Linked DNA regions of Arabidopsis thaliana. The protein of the gene in region 1 purifies or fractionates together with the protein of each later gene. This does not show direct contact. Each region holds a gene or a part of one and is shown in the gene's direction. Other genes may lie near its edges.

Evidence for each region.
Region 2: the proteins of EXL4 (region 1) and AT2G34810 fractionate together in Arabidopsis thaliana (co-fractionation; one large-scale study listed by BioGRID). This does not show direct contact.
Region 3: the proteins of EXL4 (region 1) and AT5G19110 fractionate together in Arabidopsis thaliana (co-fractionation; one large-scale study listed by BioGRID). This does not show direct contact.

Annotation. Positions count from the first base shown.
Region 1 is NC_003076.8:2,936,133-2,940,760, forward strand, and holds EXL4 (EXORDIUM like 4), read left to right. Parts: upstream 1-2,060; 5' UTR 2,061-2,264; coding exon 2,265-3,101; 3' UTR 3,102-3,583; downstream 3,584-4,628. UniProt on the Arabidopsis thaliana protein: May play a role in a brassinosteroid-dependent regulation of growth and development.
Region 2 is NC_003071.7:14,682,895-14,688,260, forward strand, and holds AT2G34810 (FAD-binding Berberine family protein), read left to right. Parts: upstream 1-2,275; 5' UTR 2,276-2,397; coding exon 2,398-4,020; 3' UTR 4,021-4,322; downstream 4,323-5,366.
Region 3 is NC_003076.8:6,410,684-6,415,977, reverse strand, and holds AT5G19110 (Eukaryotic aspartyl protease family protein), read left to right. Parts: upstream 1-2,666; 5' UTR 2,667-2,699; coding exon 2,700-3,662; intron 3,663-3,895; coding exon 3,896-4,258; 3' UTR 4,259-4,535; downstream 4,536-5,294. Other genes in the region: AT5G19120 (Eukaryotic aspartyl protease family protein), read right to left, coding at 233-1,393.

The DNA of each region.
Region 1 (4,628 bases):
ATGTCATTAGTCCATGCTATATATTAAAAGGCCATGCTTCAAGAAAATATAATGATAATATTTTATTATATTAAATAAAACTAAAGAGAATCGATAATATGAAAGAAGACGGCCGGAATTAGTTTAACCAAAAACGTGATTATGATAGGAAAATATCAACCAAATTTATCAAACTGAAATGATAGTATGATTGTCATCTGACATTATTTGTATCAGAAGTAACATTTGTCATCTAATATTTTCATAAAATATATCTAATTATAAATGTCCCAATTATAAATTCAGATCTTGTATTAAAATTTTGTTTCTTTAATATATATATACTGACAAGATTCTGTAGTTACAATTATGTAAAATAAAAAAAAATAAAAAAATTATGTAAAATAAATTCAAAAACTTTTTTTTTGGTAACTGCAGTTGTTTGTTTCTCTTAATAATATATGTTTTTGTTTTCTTACGTTGGGTACGGATAATTTGTATTTTTGTAAAAATGTGGCTTCTGTGATAGATATTTTAGTAGATTTTTGTTTTTTCGACTGAAATTCACGTGTTAAATACAAAGGTAAAAGGTAAGCTTACAGTTCTGCCTAGTTCTGAGTTCTGGCAAGGTGACGTAAAATAGGCGTATATATATATTTCAAGTTTTAAAAAAAGTACTTACATGTGGTGGGTCTACGAGACTCATCTTCCTCGTATGTCGTGCCTTGACGTAGGTAAATCCAACGGCTCTACTTTTATTTACCTGAGATTTGAACTTTTAAAGTTCTACTACCAAGTCTACAACTATTTGATGAGACCACAACCAATATTGTGATGTGAACCTATGAATACGTAAAATTAAGTATAGTGAGTTGTAGACCATGAATTAAGTGGGTTTGAAAATTGAGACCGCATCATTCGATATCCATGAATATAGAACATTTCACAACGTTCTAGAATTTAGAAAAATAAAATATACTTTGAAGATATTAAAGAAAAAAAAAAGACGAATAAAAGATAAAGTGTTATAGAATTTAAAAAGGGAAAGGCAAAGAAACAGAAGAAGAGAGGACCACGCAGATGTAAGGCAATAATTGACATAGGAAAGGGCGTGGTTCGTACGCCTTACCCTAGCTATACTAACCACTGCTCAAAATACTTTGTAAGTTGTAGATCTCTATATACTTACATACTGATACTGTATACATAGTTCCATAGTATTATTGAATATTGATTACTGAAATACGTAAGGATTTGATCCCTACTACAGTAACCAAGTGCTTTATATCTCCATTATGGGTTCCCTCAAAACAATAGATTTTGAATAGCTCTGGGAAGCAGCATTTAAATAATATGGTTTATTACGATATTAGTGTGGTTAGTGTATGTCGGTTTAGATGTCTAGTTGCAGCTAATCGTATACTCGAATGATAAACTAAAATATCTAATGTTTAATTGCAATATATATAGCCAAGACATGTAGCTTAGCTTAGCTATAGCTAGTAGCTTTTTCTTAGTGCATGTCATTTTTATTTTAATAAATCCAAATTCTGATTTCATTCTCTCAATGATATGCAAATAAGGGAAATATTAAAAACTATATATACGTAAATTTTGTTTTAGGAGCCAATTTTTTTTATACACCAATAAAACCATCTGAGCCAATCGTATTATCAATGTATCTTGGTCTTACCTTCAGCAATTTTTGTATGGGCTGAGTCGGTCATCTTAAACGCCCATGTTTTTGTCAATGATGATTACATGTAACCGTAACTTGGTGTTTTAATTAAAAACGTTTAGAATGCGCATAGTCCTTAAACATTTCATAGCCACATTGTTTTTATTCAATTTTTTAAATTAATTTTATTTAGCAGGATAAGATAACCCTTGAATTTATTGAATTGCATCTTTCAATAACTTCAGACGTAAACTGTTCAACGTAAATAGTATAAACTTTTATCCGGACATGCACGGAAGTGTTTATCCCTGTCGCATAATATCTACATTTCGAAAATTTTAAAAACCAAAAAATAGTACTACTTGATAATACACGTTTATGGAAACTACCACGTCACCCTAAGAAGAACCTTACTACAGGCTGTCCAAAAACTTGCCTAACCAATTAAATATATCCACGTGGCATACGTTGACATGTACGCTCTTTGCATTTTACAGCTCTTGCCCGTTCAAAAAACCTCGGTATATAAATAAGCTCTCAATGGTTTCACAAAACTCATATTCAAAAACAGAACACAACCTCTCTTCTCACTCTATATACTCCCAAAATGGCTTATAACTACCGTTTTGCCATTCTTCTCGTTCTCCTCTCCGCCACCGTCGGCTTTACCGCAGCCGCGTTGAAGCCTCCGGTTCGAACCTTGAACGGAAACATTACTCTTAATCTCATTTGGTACGGAAAATTCACCCCAATCCAACGGTCCATAATCGTCGATTTCATCCGCTCTATCAGTTCTGTCACCGCCGCCAAAGGTCCATCCGTCGCGTCGTGGTGGAAGACGACGGAGAAGTACAAAACCGGCGTTTCAACTCTTGTTGTCGGTAAACAGCTCCTCCTTGAGAATTACCCTCTCGGAAAATCCCTAAAGAGCCCTTACCTTCGTGCTCTGTCAAGCAAACTTAACGCTGGTGGTGCTCGGTCAATAACCGTCGTCTTAACGGCGAAAGACGTCACCGTTGAGGGACTCTGTATGAACCGATGCGGGACTCACGGGTCAAAGTCAAGTTCCGTTAACAGTGGAGCTTACGTGTGGGTCGGAAACTCTGAAACGCAGTGTCCTGGTTACTGCGCGTGGCCGTTTCATCAGCCTATCTACGGACCTCAGTCTCCGCCGTTAGTCGCACCTAACGGCGACGTCGGAGTTGACGGAATGATTATAAACATCGCGACTCTTCTTGTTAACACCGTAACGAATCCGTCTCCAGAAGCTGTCTCGGCTTGTACCGGGATATTCGGTTCGGGTGCTTACCCGGGTTACGCGGGTCGGGTTCTCGTAGACAAGACGAGTGGAGCGAGTTACAACGCTTTGGGTCTCGCCGGTAGAAAATATCTATTGCCGGCGTTGTGGGATCCTCAGACTTCGACGTGTAAAACTATGGTTTGAATTTTAGATGGTCTGTGAACGAGACACGTGGCTAGAATTGATGGTGATTAAAAGCTTGTTGTAGTCAAAGAAAGTTTGTAGATATCTATCGCGTCTGGTTCGGAGTTTGGGGAAAGGGATGTGTTTGTTTTGTTATTTTGTTATGCCCTGTGTAAATTCGATCTTTGGAAATATGTGAAAGATAGATTCATATATCTATTTTAATAATAACGATTTGTAGTTTCCACCTATAATCTTATAACGTTAGTATATACTGTATATAGTATGATTAGTATCAAGACCTTGTTTTAACTTTTAACCAGAGGAATCAAACTTTATAGATAAACGAAAAATGGATTAAGATATTAATTATGTTGTGTTGATACCAATGATACGGTAAAAAGAACAAACAAAAAGAGAGAATGAATAATCTAAAGGAAGGTGGAGAATAAAGGCGATGTTGGGACTTGGGGGATAAGAGAAAAGAGAACATATAGAATCACTTTTTCACTTTTAATAAAAGCTATAGCTTATAGGTTTTGGCGTATTGCTTACTAAACAATAGTATAGTATTTATTGTGGGACTGGAAAAAATGATTTTATTTTTATCATCCAGTTTTTCCTACCAATCTCACCTTTTTAGTAACTTGAATTGAATTGTCCCATAAATTCTTAAATATGAGCAGTGGGTTGGTTGGTGTTGAGTGCTTCGAGCAGGCCTGTCGAATCAATGGACTCTACTGACGATAGTGAAAGCAGTAAGCTTTCAATGAAGTCGCTCCAATAACAACTTGTTAAAGGTTTTATTGGAGGTTACACAATTTACACCTACAATTATTTTTATTCGTTCAATAAGAGCCACATTCTTTAAGAGTTGGTAACACTGAACCCCATAAAAATCATCTTGGACTCCAATTTTCACATCCAAACATTTCCTAATCAAGTCATATATCCAATGTTTTATGTCAAATCTATTTCACTCCCCCTTCACTTCAAAACATCTTCCAATTCTTGTCCTCACATCAGATCCCTGAACTCAAATGATAAAGAGTGTTTTTTTTTTTCCTTTTTCCCCTAATATCTTTTACTTTTCAATGCTAGACACTAGCCCTGGGACTAAAATCCGCTAACCGCGAATATCCGGATCCGGATCCGTGATCCGCTCCGAAAAATCGGATATCCGGACTAAACGGATCTGAATACGGATAACAAATTTATGGATCAGACGGACCCGGATCCGGAGCCGGATAACAAAAAAAATTACATCCGGATATCCGGATCCGTCAAAATATCTACATATTACTAGTCCTGAGACTAAAATCCGCTAGTAATATGATATTACACCAATTAAGCTTATACATTGATATCATGGGCTTAATACATACTGATATTATTAATCTTATAGCCCATATAAGCCCAATACGACAAAGTGACATAATTTGAGTTTGTTTGTGATTTGGTGGGACACGTCATTAGGGTTTCACAACTTGTCTTCTCTCTGCCGCCGTTCTTCCATCACCATCTCTTTCACCGTCTCCAAACCATCTC
Region 2 (5,366 bases), on another chromosome or scaffold:
AGAGATTTTATAAGATTTACAAGGGATTTTAAAAGGTTTTTAAAAGATTTATAAGGGATTTTAAAAGGGTTTTAAAAGATTTACAAGAGATTTTAAAAGGATTTAAAAGATTTGCAAAGGTCTTTTAAAGATTTTTAAAGGGTTTAAAATTGTTTTAAAAGAATTTTAAAATATTTACAAGAGATTTTAAAAGGGTTTTACAATATTTATAAGGAATTTTAAAGGATTTTAAAAGATTTACAAAGAATTTGTAAAGATTTTTAAAGGGTTTAAAAGTGTTTTGAAAGATTTACAAGGGATTTTAAAACCCTTTTAAAATCTCTTGTAAATTTTTTAAAATCCTTTTAAAATCTCTTGTAAATCTTTTAAAACTCTTTTAAAATCTCTTATAAATCTTTTAAAACCCTTGTAAATCTATTTGCCGCCAAAAAATATTTACAAAGATTTTTAAAATCATTTTTTTAGCTGAGGAAAATTGTTACGAAAAAGTTTTTGGCAGGAATTGTTTTTTTTGGCGGGAAAAAAGTTTGGCGGAAATTTTTTTTTTGGCGGAAAATAAAAATTTTGGCGCCAAAAAATTGGCGGGAAAAGTTCAGTTTCCAATTACATGTTTCTATTAGATGAGGGTAATTTGGTCATTTTGTTCAAGGGAAAGGGTACTTTTAAAAATGGAAAACATAAAAGGGTATTGTTGCAAAAAAATAGTAAAAAATGGGTAGTTTTGCAAATCTCCAATCATATATATACTAAGCTTCAAACTAGTTTAGTTTTGATTTGTTTTCCGATCCTAAACTTGAATTAAGCTCATGATGTTGGGAGCCTATATAAATTATTAGAACGTGATATTCATGCATGGTGTATTCAAAGAATTACACATATATAAGAGAGACTAGGATAAAACTAATTACGTTTAGATAATACTAAATACTGAGGTATGTCAAGGATGCTCTAACATATTTGTTAGGTGGATCCAAATCCACTATGGTCGAAGCGGTGGGTAACCGACGCCAAATATTATATACTGTGCAGTTGTACAAAATGGATGAACGCTATATTCAGACAAATAAGTACTATAACAAAACAAGAAAGAACTCTTTAAGTACTTCAATTTTGAGCAAAGGAAAATTTCGAGAATAATGGTTTGTAGTAGCCCGGAGGGGAAACATTACCATTTTGGTCTAAACACTTCACAATAAACTTGAAAACAAAATAGCTAGACTAGCTAGAGATATATATGTTTAGTTTCATAATATGCATGTGACCTCATAATTAAACCTTATTTTGAAACTATAACTTATAAACAGATGAACTGGTCTTTCGATCTTTAACAAAAATAAAAATGAACTGGTCTTTCTTTTAACAAATTTCTGAATCTTGTGGGAACTCTATTGGATAATTGGATTCGTAAGCACAAATTGATCCACGACCACTACATTATACATATGCAGATATGTTAATGCTATAAGACCATCTCTTTTATTGTATGACTTTTGGAGATAACAGAAAAGGGAATCTTTTACAGATAAGAGTTTAGAGTAAAGAGAAAAGAAGCCTATTTGGTTGATTTTGATTCACTGATTAAAACAACACTTGTCTTTTTTATCTTTGCCTTCACGAGAATCATAACTACACTCACCGTCCTCGCCGATCAAAAGTCCTCGTGTGATAAGAAATTCATGTGGACAATTTTATTGCAGGTACGTATTTTTCATCAACTTATCCATAACGACACGTGTTGACCTTCTTACGTAGCTCTTCTGTATTTGATCGCCTTGGATTTGCTCTAAGACCTAATTTAATCACGCCACATGCAACAATTAACTACCAAGGGTCCCAAAAAAAGAAAGAAACACATACTACTCTATTTAATTTGATAATAAACAAATAAAGTCCGTTTAGTAGATTATGTTTTACATATAAAAACAATTAAAGTCCGTTTTGTTAATTATGTTTTACCTATAAAAAAAAAATTCACCAAAAAACATTAATCAAATCATATCCTAGTTGATCATTGGTGAGGTGACTGACAGGTCGTGGAATTCTGGCATCCTATCGTCGACAAATCTTAAACTAAAGTAACTCTTACTGTTACTTTTTAAATATGTCAAAGTAACCAATATCTTCTACGGAACTTATATCCAATTTGCATACTTTTACTCATACTATACAAAATACAAGCGGATATAAACAACAAAATAAGAAAACTACACTAATATCTATAGAAACTTCAAATTGAATTGAATATTATCGTGATATATATATATATATATATATCGCCGAATATTCCCTGGAAAATTAAATACAAAGACTATACTACTCTATTGGCTATAAATACACACACAAACCCAACAAAGCTATTTCATTATTCAAAAACCAATCACAAATAACAAAACGAAAATGAAGTTTTGGTCACGACCATTAACGTTTCTTATAATTATTATCTATCTCATAATTCAACAAGTCAACTCATCACCACCGTCATTATCTATACCGGAGCATTTTCTCCGATGCCTCGACACTCAACCATCCGACCACGGCAGTCCCAACTCAAGAACCGCCGTGATCCCAACAAACTCATCTTTCTCAACAAACCTAATGAACGGCGTCAGAAACCTCCGGTTCGCTTCTGTCTCCACAAGAAAACCAGAAGTTATCGTCGCCGCCGTCACCGAAACTCACATAAGAGCAACAATCTCTTGCTGCAAACTCCTAAACCTCGAGCTAAGAATCCGAAGCGGAGGCCACGACTACGAAGGCTTCTCCTACACTTCTCCGGTACCTTTCGTAATCTTAGACATGTACAACTTCAACAAAATCGATATCAACATGAAAGACGAAACCGTTTGGATCCAATCCGGAGCTTCACTAGGTCAGCTTTACTATAACATTGCAAGTAAAAGCAAAGTCCACGCTTTTCCCGCCGGAGTTTGTCCTAAAGTCGGCGCCGGAGGACATTTCAGCGGCGGAGGATTCGGTAACCTCATGAGAAAATACGGTTTATCCATTGATCATATAATCGACGCTCAAATCATGGACGCCAACGGTAAAGTGTACCGTAACCGTCAAGCTATGGGAGAAGACGTGTTTTGGGCTATTCGCGGCGGAGGCGGCGGAAGCTACGGAGTCATTCTTGCCTGGAAGATAAAACTCGTTAGGGTTCCGGAGAAAGTCACAGTTTTTAAACTAGAAAGAACGGTGAGAGAAGGAGCCGTTGATTTAGTTCATAAATGGCAACAAGTAGCTCCGGTTATCGACAGAGATTTGTTTATCCGGTTAGAGATTAAACCAATAAACCGGAAAATCTCAAAAGGTAAGACGATTAAAGTCTCCTTCATCGGAATGTTTCTTGGTTTACCTGAGAGACTTTTAAACATAACGAAACAGAGTTTCCCTGAGCTACATTTAACGAAAGAAGATTGTATGGTCAAGAAATGGATCGAATCTAGTGTTTTCTGGGCGAATTATCCAGAAAAAGCACCGATAGAGTTACTTCTCAAAAGAGTATCAACCAACGAATACTACTGGAAACGTACTTCAGATTTTGTTCAAGCACCAATCTCAAAACAGGGTCTTGCAAAGATTTTTCAAACAATGATTGATCATTCGCCACTTCCACGACGAGTTTGGATGCAATGGAATCCATGGGGAGGGAAAATGGCTGAGATAGCGTCTGATGCGACGGCGTTTGTGCATAGAGGTGGTAATGTTTTCATGATTGAGCATTTCATGAATTGGTATAGACCTGGAGATGAGCTTGAAGAGAAGTTCTTGGCGATTGCAAGAAGTTTTAAAGAAGCTATGGCTCCGTTTGTTTCCAAGAATCCGAGAGAAGCTTTCTTTAATTATAGAGATGTCGATATCGGAATTACTACGCCGGGGTATAATGCGACGTATGAAGGAGCTAAGGTTTATGGGGATAGTTATTTCAAAGGGAATTATTTGAGATTGGTTAAGATTAAAGCCCGGTTCGACCGGACTAATTTTTTCCGGTCTCAGCAAGGGATTCCGGTTCTTGCTTAGTTTGGTGATTGGTGAGTGTTTGAATTGATTGTATTGTTGTGTGGGAAGGAGTATACTATTAAGTTATTAAAAGTTGAAATTTGGGATCATATCCAATGAATCTATTGGGTATATATGTTCCTTAGTTGTTCTGGCATGGGCAGTTGATAATTTTGTGTTAAATAATGGTTTACTTCAATCTCCAAGAGAAGTTATGTGCTAAAATTTTTAATAATAAATGGATCGGAGTTGTATATCTCTAAGAGAATTCATTGATTATAATCAACAATATATGATTAGTTTTAGTTATAGCATAAATGAACAATATATGGTCTTTAATTTGCAAAGAATACTGATTGCAAAATCTTAAATAAATTTCATAATAAAAAATCAACCAGATTTTACGCGTCTTTTTAAACAAATATCATGTACTAATTTATCCGATGACAAACTATATTATATGATATCACTATATGTTTCTAAATCATAACCTAATATTATTTTATTTACAATTGGGGTCAAGTTTACCGCTAATTTAGTTATCTAGCAAAGAAGCCTAATAATTTTTGCATGAATCTATGCAACTTTTGTTTTTTTTTGTCAAAAACATAGTATGTCAGTATGACCGATGAGCGATGAACAAAATCATTGGGTCCATTGCAAAAAGTGTGTTTTTCAGAAATCTTGGCGCAGAGTCACAGATGAACACGTGATAGGATTTATATATTAAATGCTTGAACAGGACATGGTCGAGTTGCTTCCAATAATTGTAATGAGGTCACAGTTTTAACTATATGATATAGACTTTTCGACTGGTCGATCGGTCCAAACTGGTCCGACATTTTGGGATAGGGTTAGTTATAATTGTTAGTTCAATATTTTACACGTGGGCAAAATTCCGAGACTTTCTCACCACAATTTGAAAAAATCTCGATTCCAATCAATCAAATGACCAATATCACCAGTCAAATGTTTAAAAGAGAAAACACTAGCTTGAAGCCAAAATGTATATATATCATCTAAGTTACAAGTGGGTACGTACTTGTATTTGTTCTTGTCCACCCTAGAACAAATATGTTGTATACTACTATACTAGCTGATGGTGTTGTAGGGGAGACAATTGACTGTTAAGTAAACTTTTAAATAGTGTTACAAATTATTTCAGATCATGATGGAAAAAATAGATTTAATAATATAATTAAAAAGAGAGAAAAGATTTATGTTTAACACCTTGTACTAACGAGTACTTCAACCCAAATTTCATTTAGAAGAATATATAAATCATGAAAATATCACATGTATTTGTTATTTTGGAATATTTTTATATGAAACAAGAAAAATATTAGAGACGTATGGGTTTTAGTAAC
Region 3 (5,294 bases), 3.5 Mb from region 1:
CTAAAAATGCGATGAATGAGTGAAGTTTCTGTTTTTTGTATTGATTTTTAGTTTTAAGCACTGTATTTTTACTTCATTTAAGTAATAGCTGTTTCTTAAATTAGATCTATTAGTTGTACAAATGCATGATTGCTTGTAGCAGGTATTGTAAGAAAAGAGTACACTCAAAAGAGATCAAAATTGAGGATATCTACCAGATAATTAGAAGGTTACAATTACAAAGGTTTCTGTATTACAACGAAGTTGAATCAGAGCGTGTTCTTTGTCCAAAGCCCATCATTGAGTTACCCAAATCAAAGTCCAATATAAAGCCTTCTAATTGTAGCCCACCCATTACAATCGGGTTGACTCGACTTGACCCGCCGTCAACAATCCCCGAGCATCGGACTCCACCACCAACATCCACCATCAGATTCTTCCCATGAATCCTCCACCGCACCATCTCACTCTGCAACGCTAGATCTACCGCCGGAAAATCTACGTCACTAGTGAAGCAGAGCCCAAACGGTGCGACAGGAGGCACCGATGTAGCTTCACCCGCAGCTTTGGCGTAAGCTTCCGCGAACACCTTGTAGATCGAGCTCTCTAAAATCGTGTAAGGAACCACCGTGCTCAGCTCCACCGCCAACGGACCTTCCACGGAGAGCTTTTCCCCGTTGACTCTAATCGATTTCACGTTAATTACGTAGTTGCCACTCGAACCGGTTAACAAAGGCGTGTAAACCAGCGATCTAGACGCAGCCACTCCAAAAACCTCCTCCACCGAACTCGTTGATACGACACCGTTCAACGGCGACAGGTAAACAGTTAACCGACGACGTTCGTTAGTTTCCGCGGCGAGTTGTGAAGGGAGTGAGATTTGGGCCCTTCCTAAGCCCATTACTCCTTGGGCTCCACTAGCGAGCCCACGTAACAGCCACGGTGGAGTACAAGCGAAAAGTAGATCAACGGTTCCCGGAGAAGTAACAGAGCCAACCGACATGACGTCACTGAAAAGCTCTCCTCTCGCCGTAATCCCAAAGGCGTCGTTTTTAACAAGTAATTCGCAATCGGCGTTTTGGTCTTTACGCGATGATGATGATGATGATACTCGTTCATTTCCAACTTTTGCCTTTAAGCAGCCGCTAGAGCTACCGGATATTAGGTTCCTTGACGAGGAAACATGTCTTGAGGAACAATCAAACCAGAGAATTGAGCCGGCCAGATCGACTACGAGCTTGACTGGATCCGGTGAGTCACCGAGTCGAATCTGTGCGAGGTATTGACCGGTTGGAAGGTCTTTAACAACAGGGAAAACGACCCCGTTAACGGAATCAGAGATCTGAGATTTAGAAATGATTAGAGCGGAGAGAAAAGAGAAGAAGAAGAGATTCAAACAAGAAGAAGAAGCCATTAGAAGTGTGTGTGATGAGTTTTAGAGGAAGGAAATGGATCTGGACGGTTTTTAAGGATTAAGCGTTATGGTTTGGGATGCGGTGGGCCGACGCTGGTTTATTGTGAATGTGAAAAAACTGAAACGATAAGGATTGGTTCATTTTAAGGTAAGTGCTGAGTAGACTTGTTGTGTCGTTTCGCTCTTTGGTGGGGACTTTTTCTTTTCTTTTTATTTTGTTTTGGTCAATGTTTATCCATTTTATTAAAAGCTCAAAAGAAAAAGGAGACGATTTGATGATTTTTGGCACGTGTGAAAGGATGTTTTATAGGAATATCCATAAAGTTTATACCCTATGCCAGTTGGAGTAGTTGGCTTGGTACTTGTAAATTTTGTGATGTTAACATGTATTATGAAATTAAGATTGGGCTCGTTTATATATGGGCGTCTTCAGAAACTTATATGGCCCAATGGTTTGCATGGCGTTATATATAAAACAAATCAACGGTCTTTAATAACGAAATAACGAGAGCCGTTAATGGTTTATTTGAATGAAAAATCATTTTTCTTCATACAGCATATGAACTTTACGATCCTGCAAGACTTTTTATGATCAGGTATAAAAGAATTCAACACTCATTTTGCATACATTACGTACCAATTAATGTTAAATGATACTTAAACTAGCATACTAAGATACACCGACCCATCTTTCTCCATTGTTTTCAAATAAAAATTAATTGTTGCAATATAAGCAATGTGGTGTTATGAAGATTAATATTGAGCTCATTTATACGTGGGCCTGGCAATATGGCCCAATATGTTTGGATTCGTTATGTAAAATTGTAAATTAAGTCCTTGTCGATGAAAAAATAGAGTCGTTAATGGATTATTTTAGCGAAAATCGTTTCTATTCCTATAAAATTGAAAATACAAATGATTTGATTTAAATTATAAGATCTTTCAAGACTTTCTAGTATGTATTGCTGCTATATTAAGGATTAAGATCATGCATAAAGAAGAACTCGAAAACTATTTGAAAAGAAAAGAATATGAATTGTGACATATACCCACCACGCGAGTATACTTGATCAGACCTCATTTTGCATAACATTATACGACTTCAGATGCACCGACTAATCTTCATTTTTTCATATAATTAATTGTTGTCATGTGTAACACATGCAAAAATACTCTCATTTTTTAAGATTCCGCGTAATTCAACTTTTAGGAAAACAAATCTCAACGCGAATCTCAAACATTCAAGAATACCATCACTTTTGTGTTAAAAAATGTACTAATCACCATTTTAATTCTTAGATCCAAAATGTATTTTACATCTATAAATAACATACATCGTAGTCCATCTCCATCACAAACAATCACATTCATCATTTCATTTACCAAAAAAAATTATAACCTGAATATAATAGAGATGGGTAGTAGCCTCACGCGCCTACTAGTCTTCCTTTCCATTTTCGCAGCCATAGCTCTGAAATCAAACTCTCAATACCTTCTTCCGATCACCAAGCACGAACCCACCAATCTATTCTACACCACTTTCAACGTCGGATCCGCCGCAAAATCTCCTGTAAACCTCCTCCTCGACCTCGGAACAAACCTCACGTGGCTCGACTGCCGCAAACTTAAATCTTTATCATCTCTCCGCCTAGTCACTTGCCAGAGCTCCACATGCAAGTCTATCCCCGGTAATGGATGCGCTGGCAAATCTTGTCTTTACAAGCAACCAAACCCACTCGGACAAAACCCCGTTGTAACCGGCCGTGTCGTCCAAGACAGAGCTTCCCTCTACACCACAGACGGCGGCAAGTTCCTCTCTCAAGTCTCCGTCCGCCACTTCACATTCTCATGCGCCGGTGAGAAAGCCCTCCAAGGCCTTCCTCCTCCAGTCGACGGAGTTCTGGCTCTTTCTCCCGGATCTTCGTCGTTCACGAAACAAGTGACGTCAGCGTTTAACGTCATCCCTAAATTCTCTCTCTGCTTGCCTTCTTCCGGTACCGGTCATTTCTATATCGCCGGCATTCACTACTTTATCCCACCATTCAATAGTAGCGATAATCCGATTCCAAGGACTTTAACTCCCATTAAAGGCACTGACTCAGGAGATTATCTAATCACTGTAAAATCTATCTACGTTGGTGGAACTGCTTTGAAGTTGAACCCTGATTTGCTAACCGGCGGAGCCAAACTCAGTACGGTGGTTCACTACACCGTACTTCAAACCGATATCTACAATGCTCTTGCTCAGTCTTTTACACTCAAGGCTAAGGTATTCAAAACAAAATATATTATTCATGTATAAAATTTCTTATCTCTTTATTGGAGTTCCTGTGGAGTGAACCATGATTTGAGATTTTTAAAATAAAATATCTTATTAAACGATTATTAGAAATGTGTTCCTTTAAATTATAACGTTGCTAATGTTATTTTTTTGTTGTATATAGATAAGCTGATATAACCTCTTTTCTGTCTTGTTTGTTTTGGTGTGAACTATATATACAGGCTATGGGAATAGCTAAGGTTCCATCGGTGGCGCCGTTTAAACATTGTTTTGATTCACGCACCGCTGGAAAGAATTTGACGGCGGGGCCTAACGTGCCCGTGATAGAGATTGGTCTGCCGGGGAGGATAGGGGAGGTAAAGTGGGGGTTCTACGGTGCGAATACGGTGGTGAAAGTGAAGGAAACGGTGATGTGTTTGGCGTTTATCGACGGTGGAAAGACACCGAAGGATTTGATGGTGATTGGGACACATCAGCTTCAAGATCATATGCTCGAGTTCGATTTCAGCGGGACGGTTCTCGCTTTTAGTGAGTCACTCTTGCTCCATAACACAAGCTGCTCCACTTGGCCTTCCCAAAAATAGAATCATCAGTCACTCATGATAGTATCACAGTTTTTGGTCTTGTATGACACGTTTTCAGCGACACATGTGTTCTAATCGAAATTTTAAGAAATTATCACCCGTTTCTCATAAATATCGTCTATGTTATTTTATTCAAATTTGATATTCGCTTGTTTTGATAAAAAATATTGTCTGAGGATTTTGCACATTAATAATTATCTAAAGTATTCTGTATTTCTTATTAGAAATTGCAATTTAGATTTGAAATTCAAAAGTTACTACAAAAAATGTATTGCATAAAATAAATTATATCAAAAATAAATGATGTTAATTTGAGTTACTTATTTATAACAGATACAAAATTTGATTTAACGTCAATTACAATAAGTAATGCCATAACTAATTATTTGACATCAACTAAATTAAATTGATACTAATCTATCTTAATTTGCATCATTGAAAAAAGATACAAAATAAAAACTAGCATCAATTGTTCAAATGATAGAAAGGTTAAATTATTTCAGAAAATAATGGTAATAAAATTACGAATTTAAGTGATTGATGCAAATTCACCTTTTTAGGAATTTTTAAAGTAAATAAAGAAGAAGACATATACTTGTCACAACAACACGTTCATGATAGTCTCAAAGAAGGAAAAATATGGACTTGTATGCCCTTAATTTCTCCGATGATTTCCGACAGAAATTAATGGAGATAGTAGTTTTGATACTAATTAGTTGAAATTATTTAAGATCCAATATGCTATCTGGTGAAAGAGCTACAAGGGTGTCTCATGGAATGTGGTAAGAACTCTTTGAGAACCAATTTGGATCATGAGGGATCTAGATGCGAGAAAAAGAAAGACTCAAAGAAACGGTTTAGAAGTCGTCTCCATTCCCTTGAACCATGCGGAGGAAATGTCAGAATGATATGTTACGATTCTTGAATGGATTCTACTTTTTGAGATCGACTTCACTCTTTGGTCCCCAATCTCCTCCTCTTTTCATTGTAAGGCGACAAACACTTGCAATATTTTTACATAGTAGATTAATTGTAG